4 linked regions of the Lonchura striata genome follow. The protein of the gene in region 1 purifies or fractionates together with the protein of each later gene. This does not show direct contact. Links are inferred from orthologs where the notes say so. Each region holds a gene or a part of one and is shown in the gene's direction. Other genes may lie near its edges. The genes, in order: SPAST, NUP107, NUP43 and NUP85.

Region 1 (7,324 bases):
AAATTTTAGCAAGAACTTCTTGATGAGGTTCTGAAATCTTCTCTAGAGGAGACTACCTGATTCAAAACCTGCCTGGGTGCATTCCTGTGTCACCCGCTTTTGATAACCCTGCCTTGGCCAGGGGGCTAGGCTAGATGATCTCCAGAAGTCCCTTCCAACCCTAATGATTATGTGAATTCTTTGTCTGGAAGTGTGATTTGTGCTAGAGAATTAAAATACCTTAAAAATATTTTGGGTTCAAACTGACAAAGATGTTTCGTTTCTGTAGGTTTGGAGTTTTGGGATGTTCTGGTTTGATTTGGGCTTTTTTTATTCATTTGTTTGAGGTTTTTTTAGAAAATAAACAAATAGACAAAAATAGGTCTACTTCTTTTCCTGTCTTCCTGTTGCAGTGATGACGATGCATAGGAATGATCTAGTTGATGCTCCTAAAAGATTAGTGAAATGGAGAAGTAACATAAATTGCCATGTTTTCAATAGATTCTGCTCTGACATAATCATCTAGTAGTGTTAATAATGAAGTGTGTGTACATAAATGAATTTGAAACAATGTTTGCAGAACTGACAATGTTACCAGTGTCATAAGCAGGCTCAAAATCTAGTGCAGTCACAGATTTGATACTCAACTGAAGAACTTGGAATTAGAGCAGAACTGTGTCCTGTGTTTATATATATTTTAGTGCCTAGTGCTGGCAGACTTACCTGATGCCAAAGAGGTGAGGTGAAAACACTGAGATTTCTTTACTAAAACTTAGAAAAGGAATACAAACAAATTCTTAATGTGAAGAGGTATAAGCTTTGCAGTCAGTTTTGAGCCTCTCTGAATTTTTCATTGTGTTCTAGTCATGACATTTTAGAGAATTGTATTTAGAGGTCATGTTGGGAAAGAAAAAACGTTTTCCTAATTACCTTTTGGTACAATGGTAAATTGTAGTGTCAGGGTAGTTGTACCTTTCTAATTCCTATGACTGTAACGTTGGTCTGCTCAGATTACTAAATCTTTTGCTGAGACACCAGATTGTATCTCTTCTATTTCACAAGTCCTCAATCTTTAGAGTAGAGTGAACACTATCCCACTCCAGAGGAGGCTTCACTTCTTCCACCTCTTGCTGGTGTTCATCATAACCTTTGCTGAGTCAGGATATCTCACTAACCAGCAGAAAGCCACCCACTGCTCTGATGTGGTTTAAGGGTTTGTGGTTTTTGGGGTTTTTTTTGGTTGTTTGGTTTTTTTTGGTTTTTTTTCAAAGTAGCATTAATCTTTACCAGATTATTAATTAGAATGGTTCACTGACAAGTCCAATGACTGCTAGAGTGATATTAATAGAAGAGTGTTGTTCCGATTTTTAAGATTTTTCTAAAGCCTTCTGAGTTTACATTATTGTAGAGAACTTTCTCACACAACTTTCTGTAAACAATCTATTGTTTTGCATTCCTCCATAGAAGTGGAGAAACTTAATGTACTAATAGTTTATCCAATGTCATTGGAGAGGTGGTACATTCACCCTCCAATCCACTGTCACCTTTAAAAAAATATAAATGCTAGAGTCAGAAAATAAACTTCCTCTTTTTCACCTTTGCAATAGCAGCGGCTGGTGTCGTGCTTTCAGGTGTCCTGTAGTGACAGAAGAAGGTAGGGAAATTAAACTTGCAGAGCACTGAAGTATTTAATAGCCACAATACAGAACTAGTTCTGTAGGTTTTCCTTAAAAGCATTAAGACTTTCTCACAATTTCACACTGATTCCTGCTTTTGAAGCTGTGTTTTGGCTTAAAGTGTTGTTATGCCCCTAAAAAGTGTACTCTTATTGTCATGATACTGTCACATAATTCACAAAGGTGTCATTCTAAATGTTTTAAAAAGTAAAAATAACTGAATAATCTGACTAGTCAGGATTGATTGAGATGCATTGTCTTCTATTGTCATTCAATATGTCCTTGTTAATAAACTTATTCCTTCTCTGGCTTTTCTGTTTTGCTCAGGAATGGGATGCTACTTTAGATAGCAGTGGAATAATAAACACTATAGATTGATAATCTGTTGTTACAGGCTTATTTCACATTTTTGAATGCTTCTTAGTGTTAACACTGCTTGAAGCTTCTGGAATTTCTTTGGTATTATAAAAATCTATTAAACCTTTATATCAGTAAGTGAGAGATTTTTTTAAAGGACAGTTACATATACAAAAAAAAAATTTCCACTCATGAGTGGGTGGAACATACTTGATAGTATTTTCATAGTAGAAGTACATAATCCTTACAAAACACAAAAGAAAAGTACTTGGTGTACATTGCTGCATTTTTTCAGAACTGATAGGTTCACCATCTATCTAACAATGGTCTAGGTCATGAATAATTGTTATATATTTGTATGTTATTTTATATTTGATAAAATTCTGTATTTTATACAGTAAAAAAACCACTCCACTCTGCCATTTAAGAAAATAAATACACGTTACCAGGGGAATCTGGAGGTAACTTTATGAGGCATAAACAAACAAGAAAAAAACCCAGTAGTTTCATAGTAATTTTGGAAGAATGAATAAAATATTGCAGACAGTAGTGATTTTAGTTTGGCATATACTTTTAATTAACATGCTCCACCAACTGCCATTTCATGCTATTAGCTAGGGGAGACTTGACTGTGCACTGAATTTTCTGTCTGCAGTTTTGGGACTGTCTCAGCTCCTGTGTGCAGTTCAGGGCTGCCAGAGAGATGATCTGTCATATCTAATATCATTCAGTATTTTATTTGTGGAACAGAGTGTTTGACAAAGCAAAACAACGGCGAAAAAGATTAGTCAACAGGCAACGCACACACAAAGGTGGGAAGGTTGAAGCAGAGAGGGACTAGACTTGTGGCAAGCACATATCTCTCCCTCTCAGGATTTTTCATAGAGGTGCACAGAGAGAAATGAAAGAGGAAACAATTTCTATTTTTGCTCCTTGTTTTTCCCATGTAGAATGTGTTTGGAGAATTGTTTACCTGGAGTGAGTGCTTGATTGGATTCTGGTGAGGATTGCTTGAGCCTGATGGCCAATCCAATCCACCTGTGTCTGGACTCGCACGAGAGAGAGAGGGTCACACGTTGTGTGAGAGTTAAAGTCAAAGAAAGTAGTATACAGTTTTAGTATCCTCCTTTTATATAGTATATTAATGTATTTTGGCATAGTTATAATAAAGAAATAGTTCAGACTTCTGAATTGAGTCAGACATCGTCGTTTCTTCCCATTGGGTTCACCTGCATATACAATATAGACTAAAGGTACCAAAGCATTCTTAAGTTTGAAATAACCAAAGGCATAGTGAGGTGGAGGATCTATCTCTTTGGTGAAACACAAATAAATATTATGGCTGGGCAAATAATTGACAAGGGTTTGGACAACTGCAAGTTCACTTTTGGTAAGTAGAGTGAAGATTTTTTTTTTTTTTTTCCTTCCAGAGTGATGTATCTATAATGTATAGTGAATTCCATTAGCCCCCTGCATGTGAGCAGCCAGCCTGTCATTCCCATTACAGAGCTGTGGAGCAGACAAAGCCCCGGCGCACACTCCCGGGGGGACGCCGTGGAGAACTGGCTGCTCCACGCCTCTCCGTGCAAGGGAGTTCCCCGGGGTCTGCCTGTGTGCCACTAGCAGTGATCCCAGGCGGGAGCGGCGCCAGGATTGTGCCTGTGGCGTGGCTCACAACCAGTCACAATAACTGATCCTATTCAATTATTCATCGCCCGTCCGCTCGGTGCGTCTCACGGGCCGACAGCGAACGGCCTCGGCTAGGGCTGGAGCGGGCTGGTGCTTCCACTCTGGAGCTCCCCGAAAGGAGGCTGCAGCCAGGCGGCAGGCTGGCTTCTCCCGGGCAACCAGCGAAAGGACAAGGGGACGTCTCCTCAGGCTGTGCCAGCGGTGGTCCAGGTTGGACACTAGGAGGAATTTCTTCACAGAAAGGGTTGTTTAACAAGGGAATGGACTGTCCGAGGAGGTGCAGTCACCGTCCCTGATCACGCTCAAGACCCGTCCGGATGCTGTACTTAGTGCTGTGGTCCAGTTTTACATCCGTCAAAGGCTAGACTGGATGATCTCACAGGTCTTTCATTGATTCTGTGATCCCGAGCGCCTCCGAGAACCCGCCCCTCGTTCCGCGGGAGCGGGGCGGGCTGGGCGCTGCAAGCGCCGTGCCCTCCCCTCCGCTGGTGGCGGGGCGGTGCCGCTTCGCCTCGCCTCTCCCCGCCCCGGCCGGGGCCGGCCGCGCCCCGCCCTCCGTCCCTCCCCCTGGGTCGGCCGAAAGGGGCGTCGCCGCCGCCACCATCGCCATGGCCGGTTGTTGTCAGTCTCTGGCAGCGGGTTATGGCGACGGCGGTGAATGAATTCTCCGGGCGGCCGAGGGAAGAAGAAGGGCTCAGCCGGCTCCAGTTCCGCGCCTCCGACCGCCGGCGCCTCTCCCTCCTCGCCGCCCAGGCCGGCGCCCCCCGTGCCGCCGGCAGGGGCGGCGGCGGCGGCGTCCCTGCACAAGCGGAACCTGTACTATTTCTCGTACCCGCTCTTCGCCGCCTTCGCCCTGCTCCGCTTCGTCGCCTTCCAGCTCGGGCTGCTCTTCGCCTGGCTCTGCGAGCGCCTCTCCCGCGGCGCGCTCATGGCCGCCAAGGGCAGCAGGGCCGGGGCCGGCGACGCGCCCGAGCCCGGCGGGGCGCCCGAGACGGTGCGGGCGTGCCACAAGCGGGCCTTCGAGTGCATCTCCATGGCTCTGCGCATCGACGAGGACGAGACAGGTAGGGAGGGAGCGCCCGCGGCCGCCCCGGGGTGCGGGGGGAGGCCGGGAGGGCCCTGTGCCGTGGAACCGCTTTCAGCTAAGAGCAAACAAAACCCGCTGGCGAAAGAAATGCGGGGAGCTGCGGACGGGCTGTGCGGCCGTGAGCCGTGCCGTGTCCGCATGCAGTGGCGGTGCTTTGGTCCTTGCCGCAGCCCGCAGGCGCGGGTCGGATCACAAAGCTGCGGCGCGGCCTCATTCCCCTTGCAATACAAGTGCTTGTATTTCTCCCCAAAAACATAATTTTTGCCGCGGGGGTCTGGGTGAGGCGGTTAAAATTGCGGGCGGGTGTGTGACTGTAACTAGCCTCCACCAAGCTAGCCGGACAACAAAAGCACCAAGGACAATAATAAAGATGCATCCTATAATGCACTGCCTGACAAATGATGTGAGTCCTCGAGCGAGGCTTCAGGTTACTTAGCCCTCAGAATGCCCACTTGGAGTGGTGTGATTTTAAGGAAATAAATACTTACTTTAAGTATTTTGGCAGTTTCTTAAAACATGTTTTTCTTAAACTTTAAGTTTGCCATGAATACTCTTAAAAAACCTAAAAACCTACCACTGTGTGGTGAGAAGACCTTAAGGAGAACGTTTAGGATTCAATGAAATAAAACAGAGGAGTGAGGATTTTTTTTTTTTTGTAGAGCATAATATAAACCCCAACCAAACAAAACACTTGATACTAAATTAAATTTAATCATTTATTCTAAATGCAGCAGCATGATTCTGTCAGCATGCAGAAGGTAGGCCTTGGAGACCTGCTGTGCTGGTGTTTAAAATTCTCTGGAAAAGTCAGATTACTTTATTCTAAACTTTCAGTTGAGCTTTACTAGAACTGCTATCCTAGAAGAGGAGATTAAAAATATAGGAGTAGGTCTTCAATAGGTGCTGCACACTGAGAGCGCCAGAAAAGCATGGGATGTGTCCTCCTTTGCCTTGACAGTTTGGGAGTGGCAGTGGTATGTGCTCTGGGAGAGAAAAAACTGCGCACCATGTGCAGCAGGGTTAGTTCAGCACAGGTGTACAGCGAGAGAGCACTGAGGGTCATAGGAGCAAAGCATGAAAGAAGGTGAGGCTTCAGTGTTGTTGATGATTGCTCTGTGAGGAGTAGCAAAGTCTTACCTTATCAGGCACCTGTTCCACTGCTGTGATGTTTAACTGTACGTGGTTTGGTGGGTAAGCCCTTAAATATGAATTTTAATAATTAACTTGCTCTGTAGGTATCTTTAGAGTGATCATACATGAATTAGCTGCACAGGCCATGCATTTAGTAAGATGATCTTTGCTGCTTATATGAGCAGTTACAAAACTGTAACAGTCCTGCAACTGCAATATACATCCCATTGAGAAAGAACTCATAGATTTGTTATTTGATATATAGATTTGTTATTTGCTTATCTGATTTTACCAGAATACTTGTCTTATCTTTGAAAAAGTTTTGATCTGTAAGCAAGCTTTTTATATCTTCAAAGACAAAACTATATGTTAGACACAGTATGTGAAATTGGTGGAATTTCTGAATTGTCTAATAACCTATTAGTTATGTGGCATTTTTGCTGTTGTGGGAGCTATGCATACTTCAGTAATTTTGATAGCACTTCTGGTAATTTTTTATGCTTCTGAATTAGGGCAGTTATTCTTGTTTTGGCATTTTTACAGTTTAATGCTTAATATTTTTTTCTAAGAAGGCACATATGGTGTGTTGACACCTGCAAACAGTTAAGCATCCACACAGTGGATTATTCTTCTCAGTGGGACAGGGGAGAGCATAGGAGGAGCAAAAGTGAAGGGGAAAAAGGGTGAGAAATCTTTCCAAGTGATGATTGCCTTGGAAGACAGCCCTCATTCAGTTATTCATCTACCGAGGTTTTTATTGATGAGCATTATATTGTATGATGCAGAATATTCTGTTGGCCTGTTTGGGTCAGTCATCCTGCTAGTATTCTCTCCCAACTTCCTGTGCACCCTCAGCCAACTCACTGGGGATCTAGATGGGAAAAAGAAAACCTTGAGGTTGTGCTGTTCAGCAACACCCAAAACATTTCTGTGTTATCAGCTGTTTTAGTCACAAATCCAAAACACAGTGCCATTGGGGCTGTTTAAGGAAAATCAGCTCCATTCTGCCAGAGCCAATATAGCAAATCAGCAACTTCCAAGGAATGTGACATTTATTTTATTTTTAATGTCATAATCATTGAGAACTAGTCAATCATTCTGTGTGGCAGTGGAGCACAACCTTTGCAAACAGCTTGATGTGGTATTGTGCTGTGAAAGCTTTCTCCAGTTAAAAGCTGGAAGTGAAATTTTAATGATGACCTTGTAATGTTTGCATCTGCCCCTAAGAATAATAAAGCCATTCAGGCTTTGTTAGCAGAGGTGGCTGGAATCATCTCAAATCAAGATTTTATTTAGCTATAATCAGTATTAGATTTATGATTTACACTGCAGTTGAAACTGTTTCTGTGGGTGGTGGAGAGAAGAAGCTTAAAGAAAAGTCTCAAAAGAGGATTGAAGTCACCTC
Region 2 (7,613 bases), on another chromosome or scaffold:
AATTGGAACTATGTAAGCAGTTACCAATTGTAGAAAAGAATCCTGTCTGCTGAGATTTTTGAACAAACTTTTACATATCTTCAAGATAATTCCATTATGTACCAATGCTTAAGAAGTTCACACTTGAATTGCCTGTACAGAAACTTCTCCTAAAGCTTTAGATTAAAACATGTATAACTAACATTTTGAGAACTAATGCAGGCATTTTTGCAAATTCAGTGTTAAATACACGTGTAACTGCTTGTAAAGTTATCTTATGCTTACCGTGCACAATGCTTTATTTCCTCTCTAATCTGAAGCTGATAAATGTCAGTATTTAAAGTCTGAGCCTTCTATGGGAAAAGTATTATTTGTGTCCAGAAATACTGAAATACAAGAAATATGAATTGCACTCATCATATTAGGACTCTTGCCTTGCAATATAAATTTCTCTTATATCTTACCTTATCCTAGTGCCCTTTTTCATCCTCAAATTAGTCTGTGAAATGAATGTTACTTGCCCAACTTAGAAGACTATTTTGAGACTGCAAGATGTTTTCAGATGTCCAAATAAGTGTAAGCTCAAACTACTACTGTTCTCCTACATAAGAGACTTAAATTCTAAAAAAGTATTGTGGAGTTAGATACTAGGTTTTTCATAAGATGTATTGATTCTGTGATAGTAGAAATGAAAGCTGGCAGGAGTTTGAAATTGGGATTACAATTACAAAGTAATAATTACAATTACAAAGTAAAATTGCTGTTTTCTTATGGGTCAACAGTAAAGATGAGAATTTTTCTGCTTTTAAAATGGTGTCAACAAACTGGATGAATTAAACGTCATGAATTTTTTTTCCAAGTTTTCTAATCTTAGCCAGTTTTGAAAATAGCTTAGCTGGGAAGTCATTTGGCCACAATACTGTACCAGCTCTAGACAGGCGTATCAGCAGTAGAAAGTTATACTGGATGTGAATGGTCAGAAGTAGTCTATGTACAGCTATGTAGCACTTTTTCAATTGTAATCTGATTATGCAGCCAAGGGTAGACAAAAAACTTTTTGTTCAATTTTATACTGCTGTCCCAACAGCATTAGGCTACATTTCAATTTATTGCATTTATTTTGCCTGTGTGTGGGGAGGAGGATAAAGACAAATAAAAAGTTGATTAAGTATATAACAAAATGCAGTTGCAAGTTGTTTTCTAAGGTAGCATTAGTACCAGAGTTATTAAGTTAGGTTTTCTGAATCTCAAGCATGTTAAGCTTTTTTTTTTCCCAAAAGCTTATTTAGCAGCTTGAAGATTTTTAAAACCTCATCTATATTTTCCATTTTATAAAGTGTCTGGAATTATACTTATATTTGTGGAAAACTTTACATTCTGAGTCTTGAACTGAAAGACAAGCAAAGTTGTTTTGTAGTCTTGATTTTGTTCACAGTATTTCAATATCTGGGCTTCAAACAACATATAAATGTGGATTTTGCTGTGTTTTCTGTGTTTAGGGTTTTTGGGGGGGTTGTTTGTTTGTTTTAAATAACCTCCAAAACCATTTATTTTCAGAAGTTTGAGTCATAAAGCAGAGAGTGACTTCATGTTTTCAAACAGTTGTTCTTTAGCGAGAGATTTGTGAATGGAGAAGAGAATATCTTTGCACTTCCACTGTACTCCTGTCTCAAGAGATCCTAGTTCTGCCAAACAACAAGTGCTACAGCTTCATTGTTTTAAGAAAGTTTACTACTACCAGGATTTTTTTTCTTTGAAGTTGTGACTGGGGTGAACTTCACCTGAGAATCATTGTAATTTCTAATTAATTCATGTAATGTCTTTTGCTTACCATGAACTTGGAGGCGTGGGCCATTTCTGTAGTCTTGAATACTGAGTGAAATCCTAGTGGATGTTACAGTTCCTTCTTTTGTTGGTATACTTTAACTTTTCATACTATATGGCATTTTAACCTTCCAAATCTAGTAGGGAGGACTTGGTATCTTCACTCCCATACTGCATACAAAAAAAATCCTCTACGTATGAAATCCTAGCTCTCATCAGCTGGGTTTACTGCTTGTAATGCACCCAATAGCAACAAAGACCCTTGGCAGTACTGTCATGATTTTCAGACACAAATAAAATGAGCTACAAATTTGTCTCTTTCTTTTTCCTGTTTAATAAAAAAATGTTTTTAGCTAAGTTGCCTCAATAGAAAGAGCATGAGAATCAATTTGTTTGGTAAGAACCTGAGCAAACATTTTGAGAGTCAATATGTATTTAAATACTAAGCAATACATGAACGCTTTACTTAAATTCTTGAGATTGGTTTTTAAAAAGTTTCCATGTATTTAAATGAAAAAATTAAAATTTACTTCCAGGAAAAATACTTCCAGGAATGGGTTTCAGCTAAGAAAAGATGGGCTAAAACATGTACTTTTTTGTTTCTCTTACATAAAGGCAAGGTATAGTGTAGTTTTCAGTTTTCTTTGTATTGAGTGAAGTTGTGCTGCTGTCACACATTGCACTTGAATTTTGTTGAGCTCTTGCTTTTGGTAATTCACGATTTTGGATATGCAGATTGTATATATGCAGCTTAGCAGGGCATTAAGAAAATTTATTTAATTTATGAGCAGTCTTAAAGTGTATTTTGTAAAGGGTAATTGGAGTTTTGAGTTAGTTTACTTGTTTAAAGTTCAGAATATACTAGATCAAAATTAACCTAGTACATCCTGTATGCTCTGTTAACTTTGCAGAAAGGTACTAGGAAGCAGAGAAACCTTAGGCATTGGCAATAAATATACCTGGTTTTGGTGTTAGTTGTTCTAGCTGCAGGGTCATCTTTGCGTGTCCTGCCTGTAAGTAAGGAACATTGCTATCTCCCCTGATATTATGGTAACAACTGGAGTTGAGATCAGTGTATCTGATCCAAATATGTGAAACTTCAGGTCAGATGTAAGAATTTTAATTATAAATTTGAATTTAGAGTCCTGAAAAAAATGCATTCTCTTTTGCTTCTTGGAAGTATAAGATGCTTTAATGAGATTTTCAGTTATTTTTTGCTTCATTTTTTCCTCCTTTTTCCGTCTTGGTAGCTAAATATGAAGTGGGATGCCAGTCAAAAAGTACTGAAATACACCTCCAGGTTTTTATCCAGTTCCCCCTGCATTGCCCCCTTACTGGAGCCTCTAAGGTGTTTTCCCAGTCTGCACTTAAGAGAGGCTGTACCTTCTAAGACAAGTCCTCTCAAAGGCCCCAAACGTTCATACACTTTTACAGGTTTGTTGGGTTGGGTTTTTTTTCTTAAAGTATGCATCCTGACCTCTTAATTTATCTTCAGACTTATTTCCTTTGCTATGTTCTCATCTATCAGTGCTTTGAATAAACTTGAGACGGCACACAAAGGAAGCATCTGCTCTGTCATCATTACATTTCTCACTTGTTTACTCTCTGCCCTGAGGCAGGGCTAGCCTGAGGGTGTGAGCTGTTAGCAAACGATTGAACCAGATACTGATTTGTGCTTTACTCTGAATTTCCCACTGCACTAGAGACTATAATGCTACCCTGTTACAGTAGGATATATTGAGACGTAAATTCCATTAAATTCATAGTACTGAACTAGGATGTAATAATTCCTTAAACACTTAGTTTGATGTCATCATGAAGGTTGTTGCCTTTGCTTGTGCTTTCTTGATAGTTTTCAACAAAGAAGGGCAACTTTTTTTTGTTTGTTTGTTTGGTTAGTTTTTGGTGGTTGTTTTTTTGGGGGGTGTTTTTAATCCAAAAGTACATTTCCCGAGTGACTAATCTACTCTCCATAGGTCTGCTTGCTTGTGTTTCTGCATACCCAGTCTTGATCAGTTTTCTTCTTGTGAAGCGTTCTGAAGTTAGGCTCTCTGGCAGCTTCAGTGAAACCTTATGCTTGGGCGTCGTGGTATTTTATCAGTAGCTCAAGCAAGCTGGAGGACTTCAGACCACGTCTTGCACTTCTAGTGCCTTTTGCAGCCGTTGTCAGATGTATCCTCCTGTCTAATTTGCTTCAAGTACCCCTTTGTAGCTGTAGCCCTAAAAATACCCAAGCACTTGCAAGTGTTTTTCAGAACTTGCCTGTCTACATGAAAAGATTCATTTTGGACACTTTTCCTTGTCCTAGAGCGCAACTAAACGAACTGCACCACCGTTATTTGTGCTTATATGGTAGTAACAATGTTTTTCTGTAGGTAGAAAGTAGGTTGAATTCATTTAGGGAAGGAAAGGGAGAGGCAATTTCATAATTCTGTTAAATTTGTCCAGCCTTGAAGGGTTGAGTGATCCCGCGCGGTGCTTGCTTTACCCTTTAATGTTGGTGCCAGTAGACTGAGTGACACTGGGAGAAACGGGGAAGAAACAGACGTGCGTTTGCAGCTGTGTGAAAAACTCGTCCCTGCTCCAGCCGAACGTATCAAACACCTCGCGCGCCCGAGGGCGAGATAACCCCAACAGCGCCTGGCACTTTTACACTACGGGGTTTTTTCAACCTCTGACCCTCAGCACGGGTTGAGAGAGGAGAGCAGGCTGCGGCCGCCCCGCCGCTCCCGCCCGTTACCCAGCGCGGCCCCGCCGGGCCGGGCGGGCGCGTGGGCGGGGCGGGCGGAAGGAGCCCGTGTCCTTCCGGGCCGCGGGCCGGCGCTGGCGGGAAGCGGAGCCGGGCCATGGACAGGTGAGGGCCGGCTGAGCCCGGGCCGTGGACAGGCGAGGGCCGGCTGAGCCGGGCCGTGGACAGGCGAGGGCCGGCTGAGCCCGGGCCGTGGACAGGCGAGGGCCGGCTGAGCCGGGGCCGTGGACAGGCGAGGGCCGGCTGAGCCGGGCCGTGGACAGGCGAGGGCCGGCTGAGCCGGGGCCGTGGACAGGCGAGGGCCGGCTGAGCCGGGGCCGCGCCGGCTGGAGCGGCTGTGCGCAGTGCGGGCTGCGAAACGCAGCGGGCCTGCAGCGGCTCCGGAACGCACCGGAGGGGTTTTGTCGGCCGAGACCTTTAAGTCTGACTGTTGCTTCTTGGTTAAGCGGGAGCCGTGAGCTGCTCGGGGGTCGCGGGGCCGAGCCTTTGCCAGGCCTGCTGAGGCGTGCCCGCACAGCACAGCCCACCGGGCGGGCTCCGCTGCTCCGAGTGACTGGGAATGGGGGTTTCCCTTCGGCAGGACACGTGAGCGTTCCCAGCCTGTGGAGACTGCGTTATCCGGAGGGAAAAGTCATGTAGTGAAGTCATGCCATTCTTTCTGTTTCATTTTTCAGTTCAAAATTGGAATTTCCTTGTGTTGTTCTTCCCTTCCCTCTTTCCCGCTCGCCCTTCCCTCCCTTATGTTGTAGGAGGAACAAAGTCTGGGTTTTCACGCAACCTTGTTTCCCTGAGCTAATAAGCAGTGCTAGATTTCTGCAGAGGAAGCTGGACATAAGTAGTAAGATTGGAGATGACTTAACGCTTTAAGTTTCCTGGTTGTGCAGTTATGTCGGCATGACAGTAAGATCTTGGATGTCCTGCTTGAATTCACTGGCTTGTTTTCTCTCTGTGTTGCTGTTCTGTAGAAATGGTTTTGAAGACATGTCATCCCCCCATGATCCTGAAGTGGTCAGACCTGGACGGAAGCAAGGCTCTCAGAAAAGAGTTTCTAGTATCCTTTTTCTGTAAAGAATTTTTGTCTTTAATTGCTGTGTTCACCAGGTGTGTATATTTTTGATACTGCTTTGATTTTCCTGGGTGTATGAATTCAAGTGGTTGTGAGAACTATATGAGAACTACATGACTCAATTCCTGAGCTTTTGGAAAAGAAAAATACGTTTCCTTCATTATATCTTAATTTTATGATTTTATGTTTATTTGCAGGTATTGTAGTATCCGAGTCCTATGATGATCTACTGTATCTTAACTTTCCATCTACTGTCATAGCAAGAGTAGTGCACAGATACAGATTTAAACTTCCATAGAAATCTCCCCCCTTGCTTTTTTACTATAAGGACCCCACCACCACCACCACCACCACGAGGTAGTTTGACAGCTAAGATAATGGTTTTTTCATGGTTATGATAGCAAAGGAATCCAATAAATTTGTTTGTTCTTCTGGGTTTTGCATCTAAATAAAGCTTCTGAGATACTTGTCCTGATTATATTGTGCCTAAGAATCAAGATACTTCTGAATGCTACTAGCAGAAGCTACTGAAACTTTTATACAACTGCTTCTTAGTAAATCATGCCTAGGGCACTAAACCTGGTTGCTGACAGGAAGAAGAAAAGTAGAGCAATGGAGCACCTGCAACTGAGAGAGGGAACATTCTAAAACATGCATTCAGACTCAGATCTTTTTGTTGTGGTTGATGTAGCATGCAGCAGCTCCTCATGAAGCAGAAGGGCTCTCTTTGATCTGAGCTGCTGTGAGTAGTCCCAGACCTGTGTTGTCCATATTTCTGAACTTCACTTTGTGGTGTCCCTTTTAACCCCCCAGCTCTTAAGGTTCTGATGAAACATTTTATAAAACTTTTCTGGTTTACTCTGGAAGATGTGTAATTTTCATACCATTTGAGTTATGACAAACTATTTTTCCTTTCCAAGTTACCACATTCATTTAGAATAAATACAAAAGTGTGTTTAGGAGAGTGTTTCTTAACTTGTTTACTAATTAGTTCTTACATCCCTGGATGACACTATTGGAAACATGACGCCTAAAAGCCAGTGTCTTTCCCGAACTCCTAATTCATTACTTCACCAGCCAGGTAAGACTGCCTGCTTGTCTGCTTACTATTTAGTTAAAGATTTTTATGTGCTTGTACTTAATAATTAATTAATAGCAATCCATAAGAATGACATGGATGTGCTGCAATCCAGTGAAGGCCCACAAAGTTGGTAAGTGGGTTGAGTACCTGGCATATGAGGAGAGACTTGAAAAGAGCTGGGATTGTTTATCCTGAGGAACAGGTTGGGGGATCTTGTAAATAGATATAAATATTGGATGGGAGGGAGTAAAAAAATAGCCAAGTTTTTCGTGGTGCCCTGAAAAGTCAAGAGGCAATAGGCACAACAGCATATACAAGGAATTCTGTTTAAACATTTAAAAACACCCCTTTTTTTACTCTAAGAGTTGAATGCTAGAACTGGTTGCCCAGATAGTCTATGGAGTCTCTCTCCTTGGAGATAAATAAAGCTGGACAAGGTCCTAAGAAATCTTTTCTAGTTGACAGACCTTTGGGCTGCCTTATGCTTTAAGGGTTTGGAGACCAATTTCCAAGAAAGAATGAGTGGATATATACTGCTCTTTATGCTCATGTGTGTTTACAATGAACTCTGGTAACTGAAGGTATGTTGCCTATTTGGTGTATATATACAACCTGCTTTCAGGTTTCTGTCTGCACTTCATAAGCACTTCAGTCCCTGTTAGAAATTTATTTTTGAATTTCTGGGTGGAGTTGAGCAGCTTGAAATACTTTTTCTTTTCAGAAAAGCCTCTTTCTCTTTCAGGTACTGCATTACATCGCAGCTCCATGAAGCCATCAGATATGTCTGCCATCCTGGGAACAGGAGGGAAGTCTCCTCTCATTCTACCAACTCCTGGACTTTTTGGCAATCTGTCAATGGTAAGATGGTTAGAGCATGTTTTTCTCTTTTTTCCCTGTGAAACATAAGAAAGTTC
Region 3 (7,073 bases), about 25 Mb from region 1:
ACTAAGTGTGGGCCTTCCTTAACAATATCTGGGGTGTCTTGGACGGATATCAGGCATGTGTGAAGGAAACAGCATTGGCTTGGCAGGCTTCCAGGAGCTCTAAGACAAGCCAAGTTGCCTCAAAGGGTCCTGGGAAACTAACATGCACCAACAGTGGCAGGATGCACCCATTTGTGCAGTAAACAAGTGAAGGTGTCCCTAACTCTTTCAGTTCCATAATCCCAGGCCATGTGTACATTTAAAAAACCTATTAGGAGCACATTCAACGAGACTAAACTAAAGGCAACATTTTTTACTAGTGTAAAATATGAGCAGAAATAATAATACAAAAAATTGTTTTCTGGCCATCACCATTTATGTGAAACCTATCCATTTGCTCTGATACTCAGGATTTCTGTATCCTGCTCCAACTCATGTGAGCACCTTGGTCCCTGGATGCTCACTGTCAACTGCAGGCACCTCCATTTTCCACATGCAGAGCCATTTCCCTAGACTCTCCAGGAAGCTGATGCGTGGACAGTCCTCTTAGAGAAAAGGCACAGGAATGCCAGCAGCCGGAATGCCAGCAGCCAGAATGCCACCATACAATTGTTCTGACATGAAGATCCCACTAAGTGTAAGCACATCATCTCGTCTTCCTTTGCTGCACATTCACCCACATCCCAATCCTCTCTAGCTGTACTTCCATACATTTATATATAAACCCCTTCAAACTACTATTTCTGTTTGATTCCTTCCCTCCCACCTCATAGGCCCATTAGATTTTTTTAAATTCTTTGAATTTAGAAAGAATTTGAAAATTGCTCATCACTGTCTGCTCCCATCTGCTTCTGCATACCACAAGCAGAAATTTCCTTGTGAAATGTTCCTACTGTACATTTCCGCAGTTATGTCCCAAACCCTACGCTAATTGGCTTTTACACCTACACTCCCTCCTCTTCTTGCCTCCATTCTGTTTTTTAACTTAATCACTCTCCTTCATCTCATTTCTTTTCCTATAAGCTCAAGCCAGTTTGGTGTGTACCTTCCTTTTGTATTACCATTTCAGAAGTTTACATTATTTTGAACTCCACATCCATGTTTTACCAGCTCTGCACTCAGAGATGAGGTGAGAAGGACTCAGTAACATCAGTGACTTTCCCCATTAAGGAGCAGCAGAACTGGTACCCCTTCATGAAGGAAGGTCAGCCTTCCAGATGAGACCTTCCAGATGATAGACCATCCCACAGCATCTAAGCAAGGCAAGCAGAGCAGGGCTGGGGACAGAAATGGTTTTGCCTTCAAGTGAAGTGACAAGTCAGGCCCCAAGTCAAGCTAGCCACCAAGTTTGGGCAACATGGCTGAGCACAGGCCCTCCTACAGCACAGCTCAGGCCAAGAGCAGGGTATCCCAGCCCAGATGGGAGCCCCAGCCACGGGCAAGGCTTATGACTGCACTCAGGGCTGGTCCCTCTGCTGTTACATCTGCTCTGCAGTACACTGCAGTGTAACTGTACACCTTCAAGAGAATAAACTGGGCACAGCTCCAGGACCTCTTAGCAGCTGTCAACATTGTTTTGGCATCTCCAAGAAACTTTCTTTCAATATTGTTCAATGATGATTGGAGAAAAGCAGATTATATGCAAATCTAGTTCAGAATTAGCTTTATCCTGCCCTAGTACAATCACTGATCTAGTAGGTGCCTTTGTCCTCAGGCCCCCTACGTTCTCTGAGACAGGCATGCTTTCGGTTTTCTTCCCTTTCACTCACACTCCCAGCTTTAGCCATATTGAAGGGTAATCCAGAGATGCACCTTGTTGTCTTAGCTGGCATGCTTGGACCAAAGGCTTAGAGTCATCTTAACCTAGATTTAACATCTTTCTTGAAAACTACAGAAATACTAGATGAGGCGTATTTTCTCTTGGTGCTTATTTGCACCTTTTATATGTTTATTTAAATCTGCCATTACACTGAAATGATATACTAACACAGTACACATCTTTCAGAGGGATCAAGCACAGAGTATTTAAAGGTTTACAAAGCAGACCTAAATCTGTCAGAGCTCTCACTTTCATCATATAAAATGCTGCCAACATTTTCTTTAAAAAATGTAGGACAGGGAAGAAAAACTGTGAATCTTCTTTTCCTCTATGTGAAAATAAGCCTTTATGTCCAACTAACTTCCCTTACTACTTCCCAAATGCTTCTGAACAAGCAATCCTGAGCAAAGAAAGATATCATCCAAAAGCACAAGGTAAAATAACACACAGAGAAATCACAAACTAACAAAAAAAAAAATATTTGCCTAATAAGACTTTTTAATAATTCCAAAGTGTTTTCTATTCAGCTTTTAGTTGTCTGGTCTGTAGCTATACTCTGAGGCTGCCTATTGATGTTTTTCGTGTTATAAAAATTAGCTGATAATACCCTTGGAGTCAAGAGTGACTTGCAGAACTGCTGTGAGCAGCTTAATAAGGGTGCCAGAAGCATTTGCTACTGTAGAACAGCAATGCTGCTGCCATGTGCAACAATTATTTTTTAAGGTATGTTTGCAGTATGGTAGACTCCTAGAGAATCCAGCTTTTGGCATATGTTCAGTGTTGGATTCTGCTGAATGTAATTATGGAAGAAAAAGTTAAATGAAGTTCAAAAGATGCATGAAGCACATAAAATATCAGTGGTTTGGTATCACACCTCAGGGATTACAAAACAGTATAGCAGACTTAATGAGGAACTCAAAAGTGCTGTATAGAATAAATCTGTATAGATGCCTTTAGCAGGAAAACTGCAATAGCACAATGGAAAATTTGTCTAAGCCACTGTTATGTCCATCTGACAGAACCTCTGAGACTGGGCAGCATCAGCTTTGGAAAAAAATGCAGCAGAAAACAAAGCTGTAAAAATCTGTGTGAGAAAGTCCCTTACTGGACTGCAGTGACTGGATCAATAGTCTCATCCTCTGAAATGACAACTAACTACACAATTGTGTCAGCCTTTAATTTTACAACTAACCTCTGAACTTTTTATTGCATAGTTATTTAGTTCTCAAGTGAAATACTAGAAAGAAAGTACATGTGTGCTCCTCTTTGATTTAACATAGCATCTACGACAAAAAAATATTCTGTTTATTTCTGTACAGGTAGGAATCTGTCAAAGCAATGACAGTATCACTCAGAAGTACAGTATCATGGTTTAACCCCAGCCAGCAAGTACCAGGCAAATATTTGGTCACATAAGCCCCACAAACCACCCCAGCCCACCCCAGGGAGTATGGGGAGGACAATTGGAATAAAACCAATGTAAAAAAAAAACATGGGTTGAGATAATAATAACAACTTATCTCTTAATAACTCTAATAATTCAAATCAAAAAAGATAAACAGCCTGTCCCTAGGCAGTAATTGGTCCCTCCTGGCCAATGTTCCCCAGTTTAATCAGTGCATGTGATATTCTATGGTATGGAATATCCCTCTCACCAGCGCGGGTCAGCTGTCCTGGCCATGCTCCCTCCTGGCTTCTCGTCCAAGTGCTCACCGGCAGAGCGAGGACTGAAAAGAACTTGATTTGCGGTAAGCGCCGCTCAGCAGCAACACATCAGTGTGATGTCACCATTATTCTCACATTAAATCGGATACATAGCGCTCTGGCTGCTACTCGGAAGAAAATTAACTCAGCTGAAAGCAGGACATACTTAAAAGCAGATCTTAAACCAGAAATGCTTAGTCGTTGTGTACGTCGCTCATGTTGAGAAAACAGGAGTCGGTGCATGTAAGGCACAGGTGACATACGGACACAACGCTCCGGCGGACGCGGCCCAGCCGAGCAGACAGGTAACACAACGGCACGGTCGCGTCATCCTCTGTTTCCTCCTCTCCGAACCCGACCCTCTACCGACACCGAGCCGATAGGCGCCGGTGCAGCTGCTCAGGGTCAGGCAGAGCGCAGCGCCGCCCCAGCCCCGTTACCGCGGGCAGCAGGCGCCGGGCCGCCCCCGCGCCGCTCCCGGCACGGCCCGAGCGCGCCCCCGCCTGTCCCTCCGCGCTCGCCGTCGCGCCGCAGCCAATCAGCGCGCGTGGCGCGGGGCGGGCGGGAGCGGGCGCGGGGCGGGCGCGGCCATGGAGGACGTGAGCGCCAAGTTCGTGTCGCAGAAGATCAGCCGGACGCGCTGGCGGCCCCTGCCCGCCGCCGCGCTCCAGCCCCCCGACCTCTTCGCCACCGGCTCCTGGGACAACGAGGTACCGCCCGGGCGGGCCCGAGGGCGCGGCGCCACCTCCCCGCCGGGCGCGGGGCGGGTGGCGGCGGCGCCCCACGCCGCCTCGGTTCCTTGCCCTCCGCCGCCTGGTGCGGGAGCGGGGCCGGAGCCGGCCGGGAGCACCGCCTGGCTCGGCAATCCCGCGCTCCGCTTGACCGTGCCGTGCTCGCGTCCCCAAGGGAGCTGTGGGGCCGCCCCGGCAGCGTTATCCCCCGGGGCAAGCGCTTCCCTCCGGCCGGCGGCGGCTTCCTCAGGAGCGGCGCGCAGCCCGCAGCCTATTGCTTTCCCTGGCTGAGGATTATTGCTCGGTACTTTCAAAAGCGTTTTCGAGTACATGTGGTATCGTTTCCGTTCAGGACAACAGGATCTCCATTTGGTCTGCTGGCGACCTTGGAAATGCGGGCCTCAACGGTGAATATCATGGAGAACCTCATTTGCTGTGTGACATCCAGCACAACGGCGATGTTATGGATATGCAGGTAAAATACCTGTGTTGAGTAGTTCCGTAGTTTTTAAGGGCTTGTCACTTAGGAGAAGTTGAGTGAAAGTGAACTGTCAAAATGCTGAGATTGGCCAGAAAATTTTGACAAAGAAAAAGGACAATGCCAATCAATATTGCTGTGTTTTTCGTGCGTTTGGTTTTTTCCCCCTCCACCTACCAATAATTTTGATTACTCTAAAATCAAAGTTGGCTAATAGTATTATTGTTTTCTCTCTCTAGTTTTTGGATCAAGAGAGAATCGTGGTTGCCTCATCAACAGGAACTGTAACTGTATTCCGTCATCATCAAAATAACCAGGTATGTGACATGCACTGGCTTTAAAATGCTATTCCCTGTAATACAGGTTACTTTGATCTTAGCATAAAAATAATCTGGCTACCAAAATGAATTTCTTTTAAAAGCGTGTTAAAAAAGCTTTGACTTGACACATACGAGGAAACAAAATAGTGTTTTACACATATGCACATAAACTAGATTCCAGAGTGAGACAGACTGGGGTATCTCCTTATCTGTATCTGTAACCAAACGCCCATTCATTGAAAGCATCGTTTGAGACATTAGAGGGTTTTGGGGCAGTAGATATTAATGGACTTCTACCTGCCTTATCAGAGTTTTTGAATTCTTGAAATAAATTACTTCTTTTTCAATTCTAACAAATTATGAATTAATTCTTATGAGTGTCATGTGAAGAAAGATATGTAAACTCTGTAGCCTTTTGCTTTGGTTATAAATCACTGAAAATAAATGCATAATTACATTTTTATATATGTTCAAATAACACAGTAAAGGTGGATGTCAGTTAATAATTTGGTGTGGTACCTAAAATAAACCAACTTCCTTGCAATCAAGATCTGAATCTGACCTTTTATTTTCTAAGGGCATCAGTTCTTTTCCCCTGTCATGGGAAATATTGAAGACATCAGCCTAGTGAAAGACATTTTACAGTCCATAGTGTTATTTCTAATTGCTAGATCATGTGAACACAGTGGTTCAGAGAAGAAATAATTAACATTTAATAAAAGCGTTGCGTGTTTAAGATGAAAATTTGGATCTCTTGATTTGTATTTATATAGGAGGCTCTCATTCCCATGAAATACTGTGGCTTTCCTGGAGCTTGTTTCTGGTTATATGAGTATTCTGGAAGATTTGTTCTATTGGGTTCATTATTTAATACCATAATTTCATGTGTGGTTAATACTTAGACATTATCTGCTGACCACCGGTGGGAGAAAGCCCATTATCATGTGGATCAAGACACAGCTTGTGGTGGAGCAGCCTGTACAGGAGTTGTCTGCAACAACCCAGAAATTGTCACTGTTGGAGAAGATGGTAGAATAAATCTCTTCAGGGCGGACCAAAAAGATGCAGTAAGAACTATAGGTGTGTGAAATACCAGGGTTTTTAAATTAGTCTAGTTTGGAGGGGGTTTGGTTTTCAGCTTATTATAACAAAATAAAAAATAAGTTGAATATTGATTTCAGTATTCCAGGTTGAACATGTTTGTTCCAGATTATTCCTGTATCCCTCCAGAATTCAAATACTTGAAGCATATTTCAGATGTATTTCTATATTCATCTAGGTATTTTTAAATTCATGGTTTTACAATAAAAGTTGGAGAGGTAAGAGAGAGAACATCTTAGAAGATGCTCTCAGGTTCTTCAGAATGGAGTTCTGTGGTGTAAGCAATCTGTTTTGCTGGTTCCCACTTCAATAACACCTTGACATTTCCCAGGCACTAAGCTGAATCCGTAACTTGAAGATAGAACTCTTGTACCTCATTCAATAGTTGCAAAGGAATACCTTGGAATTTCTGTTAGTGTTTAGTGTTATTGTTTTGTTATTGTTTGTTTAAGAGTACAGTACAAAGTGCATAGGTTTGTAGTCAGTTAAGGTAGGGAAAAAAACATCTATAAAGTTAGAGGTTTATGTAAAAATATTTTGGAGCAGTAAAGATGTATCATTGCTAAACCACTTAGTCTGTCATAAAACTTTAAATCCTCTAGAACCTCGGTATTCAGTAATCCAACATTTCTTTTTAATGATGTTTTAGTGAGTTTTTTCTTCCCCTCTGCTTTCATTTAAACAATAGGCAGAAGAGTCATTCCAATATCTGTAACCAGGCATCATTGTAATTTTTTTCCCAGTATCAGAAAATATTTCCATCTTATGCAGAAAGATAATAATTTGCCTATATTTTCCATATGGGCTTAAACAAAGAATTTTAAAATACTTGAGGTGAAAGTAGACTTAACAAAGTTACCCCATCATAATCAAGATGAAAGGTTTATATATAGTAACAGAAATAAAATACAAGAAAATAGTGTCACTTTTTCAGAAGGCCT
Region 4 (6,989 bases), on another chromosome or scaffold:
TGCCTGTTTTCTCTGTGTTTAATTACTCATGCTATTATTTTTTTATTTGTTTAAGGTACTGGGAGGTGAGAAGCACCCTGGCTGGGGAAGACCATGCACTTCTGCCCAAATCCCACTTCATGTGTGATGCCTCAGGCTCCTGTAGTCTTCTTTCTCCTTTCATTCCAGCTCTGAAAAGCAATGGGCAACTTGGTTTGGTCATTCTCAAATTGATCATTACTACTAAGAAGTTGTCACTCTACTAGTGAGAACAAGGAAACAAAGCATCTTAATGCCCACCCTTCTATCTATCTCATCCATGGCTTTTTAAAGCAAAACTCCCAACCCAAGGGGTACTTCACAGAGCAAAAGATGAGTTGTGATTCCCAATGGACTTAAGTTCTATTTTTAGAGATGATGCAACATCACAGAGATGTGTGAGGAAGGGCTCAAGGGGTTTGATGGTCCTGTTGTATTTTGTTCTTTTCACTTCTTCCCCCTCCCTCCTTGAAGATCCCTGTGCTGCAGGCCCAGGAGGAGGATTTTTGGGGAGGTGGGATGAAGCTGGCCAAGGCCTGAGCGTGGCATGAAAGAACTGAAGGCAGAAATGACACCAAGTGAGACACACGTTAAGGCAGCATCACAAATAGAACAAATGTGCTAAAAAAGACAGGAAAATACTCTAGGATTTATCAGAACATATGGGAGTTAGATGTGCTCAGAAAGGCTGAAAACAGCTTCAGATGCACCAGCACTGGTCTCACCACCAATCAAACAGATCCCAAATCACAGAGCAGGTTTATACAAACCTCATCTCTGTGTGGCTTTTCTTTTTACATAGCAACAGAGGAAACTCTGAGAAACTGGAGCTGACAATGATCAGTACTAAAACCTGCAAAGGAACAGGCCAGACAGCAGCACTGGGAGAAAGCAGCGGGGGGAGAAGCCACACTGGGAACTACAAAAGCTCCACTCCTGCAGGGTCCGGGCTGCAGCAGAGGGGAGCAAAGCAAAGGTTTTTGTCCCTCTGAGCTCCTCCTCTTCAATGCACCAAGCTGAAGGGAAGTGAATGGAGAAGCATCACAGTGAAAATTCCTGAGAAATTCCATCTTTGGGAGAAAAAAATTCCACGTGTTTTTTTCTTAAAGTATTTCCATACTTTGTTTCACTCTTGTACTGCAGTTTTATAAGGAATAAATCTAGATTTTGCAGAGCTCTTTGGTTTAATTCTCCCCCCTCTGATGAAGAGGGCAGGGAACATGGGCATTCCATATACATGTTCTTCATGCTGGGATTTTAAAATATTAAGTTTTTTGATACCAAAGCAGCTACAGGTAGAAGGTGCATGCTCCTGCACATCAGCAAACATTAGCCTATAAAACCAACTCCAGCCCCTTCAAAACTGAGTGTTACTTTGTACTGAGTCCAATGCAATAACAAAAAGCACTCAGTAATTTGGTGTGAATGAGTGCGTTGGGTTACCAGCTCAGACTCTGCAGGTCTGAGTGCTTTCCTCAGGCTTTGTTCTTCATTAATTCTGGCTTAACCCTGGGAATAGAAAATACCTTTTGCCTATAGCCCTGCCTGTGCTGTGCCTTCCCTGTTCATGATGCTGATCATTCCCTCTGTTCCCCAAATAGCTTCCAAACCTCCTATTTCACAAGGTAGTAACTCCTGTCCTAATCAGATCTTTTTTTCTCTCTTTTTCTCCTGACTGTAAACCACACAATTTCTCTTTGCTTCCCTTGCTGGACCCACAGCCCATACTCCAAAGCCTTTCTGAGCAATGTGAAATTCCATGCTGACATGGAAATTCCCAACTCTACTCAATTATATGGACTGAGAGGCACAGAAGCCTCGAGCAGGAAGGTTTCCTTTCTAGGTATGTGCAGAGCTCCAGCCAGTGTTCAAGAGGACCAAAAATTGTCAAGATTTCATACCAAAACTCACCTTTTCCAAGATGATTTCCACAGGAACCATCCATTTATGAACAACAGATGCTGCGGATATGAAAAGCCACTGACACTTTTAGGGAGAGAGCAAAGTGGACGCTGTGTGCCAAGAGACAGCAGGAGAAGATCAAAGAGTTCCAGCTTTCAGTGTCTCTTCCCACAGATGGACCTGGGAGCAGCAGAGGACACTGTCCCACTCCTAGATCAACCTCCCACACGGTGGATCTCTACACAGTATTACATGGATGTTCTAAATATATTCTGCCACTCACAAGAATCTGCTGCAGTTATAAAAGCAGCACCTTAGCCTTGAGGAACAGTGGCAGGAGGCCTCGTACCCCTGGGTTTTTAGACATCCGGTTTTGAATTGCATATAGAGCCTTTTAGTGATGTGTGGAATGGTATTCTGGATCTAGGAATGCCCACAAACATCCTCAGAAGTCTGCAGCACAGAGCAGCACCATTGTGTAAGACAATAAGGTGAATTTGACTTTGTACAGCAGATTAAAATACAGGCACATCCTCAAATAACAAAACAGAGACCCTTACCCATGATAAACAACGACAGGTTTAAAACTGATGAGTCTTCAGTCTCTCAAGCAGCTTTTGGAATGTTTAATTTGTTCTACCTGCAAAAATTTATTCGTTCTGACCTGAAGAGACACCACTTTCTTTTCTCAGCATGACTGGTTACATGACATGCTCTTCCCAGAGATAACTGCTGGCCTTATTTTTATTGGAAATGATGGATGCAGCAGTTGATAAGTAAAAAAGGGCAATTTAGCCATGGAGTGTTGCACTATTTGTCATACAGGACAGCAAATTATTTACATTATCTTGAAAAGTTTCTTTTTAGTGAGCATTCTGGGAAGGCACCAGCCTAAGAGGGACTGGTTCCAGCTGTGAGACCAACAAAGCTGCACTGCTAATACTTGTCTTAAAAAGTATATTGCTGAAGAACTTGCTTATTGGCTAGCACAGGCAAAAAGTGAGGAGTTCACAGAAGCAGGGAGGAGAGCAGAATGGAAGGAGAGGAGCAGGGTGCTGTGAGTGTTTTATCACACCATGGCATTGAGTTGAATGCCATGGTAGGTGAGCTCCCAGTGTTAACAGAAAGGTGATGAGCCTCCAGCAGCCTCAGAAGGCACCTCTGCCCAGTGTCCAGGGGATATTCCACCTCCTCCTGGACCCTGAGGCAGGGAGTGAGTGAGTGAGTGAAGCACAGTGGCAGTTCTTCCTGCTTTGATCCTGCTTCATTACATGTCCTTCCCGAACCTGCAGGCAACTCTCTGAAGTCAGAGCACATAATTTGATTAGTCAGCTTTATCAATGCCCAAGAGCTCCAGAGAGCATCACCTTCAACATCCCAGAGGCTTCTCAACCTGCACGTGTTTGACATGTATGAGGAAATAGGAGACATGGGTTGTTACACAATGAAGCGTGAAAACACTGACAGTGACTGTGCACTTGGACAGAGATCAGGCAGGATGCGCAGTCTCCCTCACTGGAGATATTCCAGAACTGTCTGGACACAGCGCACTGCCATGCACTCTGAGATGAGCCTGCTGCAGCAGGCAGTTTGGACCCGAGTTTGTGGTCCTTCCAACTTAACCTATTCGGTGAATCTGTGAACGCTGACTGACCAACGACATCACTGCACGGCACACCTGGGGCCAGCAGTGCTCCCAGCCAGCATTGAATCTGTCCTGGCAAGAAAATGAGGAACACCGTGAGGGGCTGGCATCCACCCCAGCCCACCCCATCCCCACAGCCCGCTCGGCGCAGCCCCGGCGCTCAGGCCCGGCGGCCCGGGCGGTGGCGGGGCGGGTCCGTCCGCCTGGCGGGGCCTCGCGCACGGGCGGCGCTTCCGGGGGCAGCGCCGGTGCCTGTCCCGGGCCGCGGGACCCGCGCTCCCTCCCGTCCCGGCGGCGCCCGGGCGGCTCCCCCGGCACAGCGGCCCCCGGCCCGGCGGGGGCTCGCGGCACGCAGGCGGCGGCGCGGGCAGCCCGGGGGGCCTCGGCGGCCCGGCGGGCGGGAACGGCAGCGGCCCGGCGGGCGGGAACGGCAGCAGCGCGGCCGCCGCCATGGACGAGCCGGACGCGGAGCCGCCGCTGGTGGTGCGGGATGGGCCGGGCCGGGGGCTGCGGGGCCGGGGGCTGCGGGGCCGGGGGCTGCGGGGCTGAACGGGGCGCCGCTGACGGACACCGTCCCCCCGCAGGTGGTGCCGGGCGCGGACCCCTCGGCCCGGCAGCTCTGCTTCGCCTGGGGCCCCGCGGAGGTGCTGGTGTGCGAGACGCTCTTCGGCCGCGCAGGTGGGCTCCGCTCCCCGTGCCCATCGCGGTTCTGGGTGAGGGCAGGGCGGGCGCTGCTGCCGGGCGCTGACGGGCTCTGTTGCAGGTACCGGGGATGGAGCACCGAGCTCCTCCTGCGTCTTCGTGGTCCGCAGGGACCAGGACATTTACATCCAGACCCTGCGGAAACTCTTCAACGAGTCGCACGGGATTTTCATGGGGCTGCAGCGGAGCGAGGAGGAGCTGGCGGGGAAGTCGCGGAAGGCGCAGTGAGTGGATGGGGAGATGCGAAGGAGGCAGCCGCTGCCCCTTCTCCAGCCGGGGCCAGCGCCAAGGGCTGACGAACGCCTCAGGTGGGGCAAGTGCCATTGGCCAGGCTGCTTTCACCAGCTCTGGAATCAGCAGCGAGGCAGATAGAATGACTATTTTGGGGATATTTTATAAATCAAGGATCGGATCCTTCCAATAACCATGCTAGTAGAATGTGGTACAGTTTCATTGATTCCAGCTGGATCCACCCAGGTAATGGGAGTTGTTGCTGCAGAGAAACTTGCAGTTATAGGGGGCATAACACTAAAACTCCAACAGCTCCCTCCAATCAAAGTCTTTTTGTGTTTGGCAGATTGGTTCAAGTGAGTAAAAACTACCGGTCAGTGATAAGAGCCTGCATGGAGGACATGCACCAGGCAGCTGGTAAGTTTGTTTGTTCTCTTCCTGCAAGAAAAGGAAACACCAGTTGCAATTACAAAAGTAGGATTGTAATAGTAACTTACTGCAAGTGCTGTACAATAACATGTATAGGTTTCAGTAATTGGCAAGATTCTATTTCCATGTGGGATATTTCCACGTTGGTTTGTGAATCTGGTCATGGACTGGTTTTTTCCCACCATATTGTAACTGATTTTCTGGGGACTTGCAGCCTTTTCGTATCTCATGTGGCAGATATATGGAAAGCTATCAAAGCTCAGAAGCAGCTGGCAAATGTAAATATGTTGCTCTTTGACTTTATTTGCTTTTCCTTCAGTTTCGACCCAGGACCCTGCCCTGCAAGGCCAGTACAGCACTCAGGTAATCTGCAGTCCTGTCAGGTTGAACGTGGATTACTGCCTGGTGAATTCACCAGGCCACCTCTGTGGCACGAGGCACTTCAGATTTAACTCTGTCTTGTATATGAGATGCAGTTCATGACCAAGAATAAATTGAAATAAATAGTTAATTCCTGTGCTTCTGAAACAATAAAGATGCCAAACACCTCAATTCACTGCAATGTTGTAAACATATTTTCTGTTCTAGATGTGATGTTTTCTTGTGATCCCAAAGCTGACAAGAAAAGTTTCAGACTTGCTGTGTGGTGTTTCACCTCTCAAACTCTCAGATTCCAATCAGCAGCATCTGAGCCTCACAGCAACCTCTGGGTGTTGAGGGTGAGCTGTCAGATCCACCAGAGCGTTCTGGGAGGAGCAGAGTGCTCACACCAGCTCTGTCCTATCAGCTGCAGTGGTGTTGCTTCATTGGCTGTTCTTTCTGCCTTTGATGTTTGTATTGAATCTTAAAAGGCTGAAAATAAGACCAGTTATATTGCTCACTGGTGACAGATTATTGTTGCATTTCATTACACAGTGTCAGTGTTCTCTGACCAAAGAGTGTGAAATTGTGGCCTGTGTCTTTTAATTTTTATCTCTGCAATGTCAGTATGATGTTTCTCTGTAAGAACTGATTTCTGTGGACAGCAGATGCCTTTGTGTGGTTAAAAAACCCAGGTGGAATGACTGTTTCTGAAACTTGGCCCTGCTTTCCTTCAGGTTTCCATTCTCTCCGCAATGGAGCTGATCTGGAACCTTTGTGAGATTCTGTTTGTTGAATCAGCTACAGGTGAGCTGTGAACTATGCTGGTGTAAAGACTGATGGGTTTCTTCTTTGCATATTTCTTTGTTTAAAATGTGTATTATATTCCCTGTGTCATAGTTTAATGTTTTAGAGGTATGCAGTGTCAGTAAGCCTTTTAATATCCCTTCTGCCTCAGTTAACTGCCTTCTTTATACTGAATTATACCAAGCTATTCAATTTTCCTTCTACTTTTCTTCCTCGCTCTGATTTAAATTGTTTCTTTGTCAGAAAGGTTATGAAGCAGAGGGATATCAAAAGTTGTTGCCAATCTATTTTATTTATAAGCTTAAACATGTCTTTAAACATCAAATGTGTCGATGCCAGTTGACATTTACACAGCTCTGATATAACTCCTTTAACTTTAGGTTGCCATTTTTGAAGTCAGTCTGTTTACATTGGTCTTTTAAAGTAGGAAATAATTTTTGAAGGAAATCATATTATGCAAATAAATGTGCTACTTACACAGTCCCAGAATTCAGCAGAGACTTGCAAATTATAGATTACTTAAGCTAAATTGGTCACCTAGTACCAAATTTCTTCCACCTATTCAGTTAGTAATAATTATGCTAAAATAAATAGAAATATTCTGTTTGTCTCTTGGCATTGCAAGATTTATGATCTGGATCACTCATTTTTTATTTCTTCAAGTGTGGGTTTTCTACTGGACCGTGTTGCCACAGGAAAACCTGTCAGAGGCTGGGTGCTCCCAGGGCCTCTTTGCATAAGGAGCTCTGTAATTTGGGGGTGGCAGGTAGAAATCCAGTCAGTAAATCTCATCTAGTGATGTCAAACTGTTATAAAATGTGCGAGAGCAGTTTGGGAACAAAGAGGTGGGAACTGACAGAGGGAAATCTGCCTGCACAGCTGGGCCCCTCCTGCT

The links.
Region 2: the proteins of SPAST (region 1) and NUP107 purify together in Homo sapiens (affinity purification with mass spectrometry; 3 studies listed by BioGRID and IntAct, counting the BioPlex papers as one, with this or other methods). This does not show direct contact. The link is inferred for Lonchura striata from reciprocal best matches to the Homo sapiens genes SPAST and NUP107.
Region 3: the proteins of SPAST (region 1) and NUP43 purify together in Homo sapiens (affinity purification with mass spectrometry; 3 studies listed by BioGRID and IntAct, counting the BioPlex papers as one, with this or other methods). This does not show direct contact. The link is inferred for Lonchura striata from reciprocal best matches to the Homo sapiens genes SPAST and NUP43.
Region 4: the proteins of SPAST (region 1) and NUP85 purify together in Homo sapiens (affinity purification with mass spectrometry; 3 studies listed by BioGRID and IntAct, counting the BioPlex papers as one, with this or other methods). This does not show direct contact. The link is inferred for Lonchura striata from reciprocal best matches to the Homo sapiens genes SPAST and NUP85.

Annotation. Positions count from the first base shown.
Region 1 is NC_134605.1:32,864,970-32,872,293, forward strand, and holds the start of SPAST (spastin), read left to right. Parts: upstream 1-4,304; 5' UTR 4,305-4,359; coding exon 4,360-4,765; intron 4,766-7,324. UniProt on the Homo sapiens protein: ATP-dependent microtubule severing protein that specifically recognizes and cuts microtubules that are polyglutamylated.
Region 2 is NC_134607.1:44,371,447-44,379,059, forward strand, and holds the start of NUP107 (nuclear pore complex protein Nup107), read left to right. Parts: upstream 1-4,605; 5' UTR 4,606-4,649; coding exon 4,650-4,657; intron 4,658-5,517; coding exon 5,518-5,603; intron 5,604-6,609; coding exon 6,610-6,699; intron 6,700-7,441; coding exon 7,442-7,557; intron 7,558-7,613. UniProt on the Homo sapiens protein: Plays a role in the nuclear pore complex (NPC) assembly and/or maintenance. Required for the assembly of peripheral proteins into the NPC. May anchor NUP62 to the NPC. Involved in nephrogenesis.
Region 3 is NC_134605.1:57,519,605-57,526,677, forward strand, and holds the start of NUP43 (nucleoporin Nup43), read left to right. Parts: upstream 1-4,052; 5' UTR 4,053-4,092; coding exon 4,093-4,212; intron 4,213-4,585; coding exon 4,586-4,708; intron 4,709-4,950; coding exon 4,951-5,028; intron 5,029-5,933; coding exon 5,934-6,111; intron 6,112-7,073. UniProt on the Homo sapiens protein: Component of the Nup107-160 subcomplex of the nuclear pore complex (NPC). The Nup107-160 subcomplex is required for the assembly of a functional NPC.
Region 4 is NC_134621.1:5,353,834-5,360,822, reverse strand, and holds the start of NUP85 (nuclear pore complex protein Nup85), read left to right. Parts: upstream 1-3,980; 5' UTR 3,981-4,015; coding exon 4,016-4,048; intron 4,049-4,149; coding exon 4,150-4,243; intron 4,244-4,328; coding exon 4,329-4,491; intron 4,492-4,844; coding exon 4,845-4,915; intron 4,916-5,246; coding exon 5,247-5,290; intron 5,291-6,024; coding exon 6,025-6,094; intron 6,095-6,973; coding exon 6,974-6,989. UniProt on the Homo sapiens protein: Essential component of the nuclear pore complex (NPC) that seems to be required for NPC assembly and maintenance. As part of the NPC Nup107-160 subcomplex plays a role in RNA export and in tethering NUP96/Nup98 and NUP153 to the nucleus.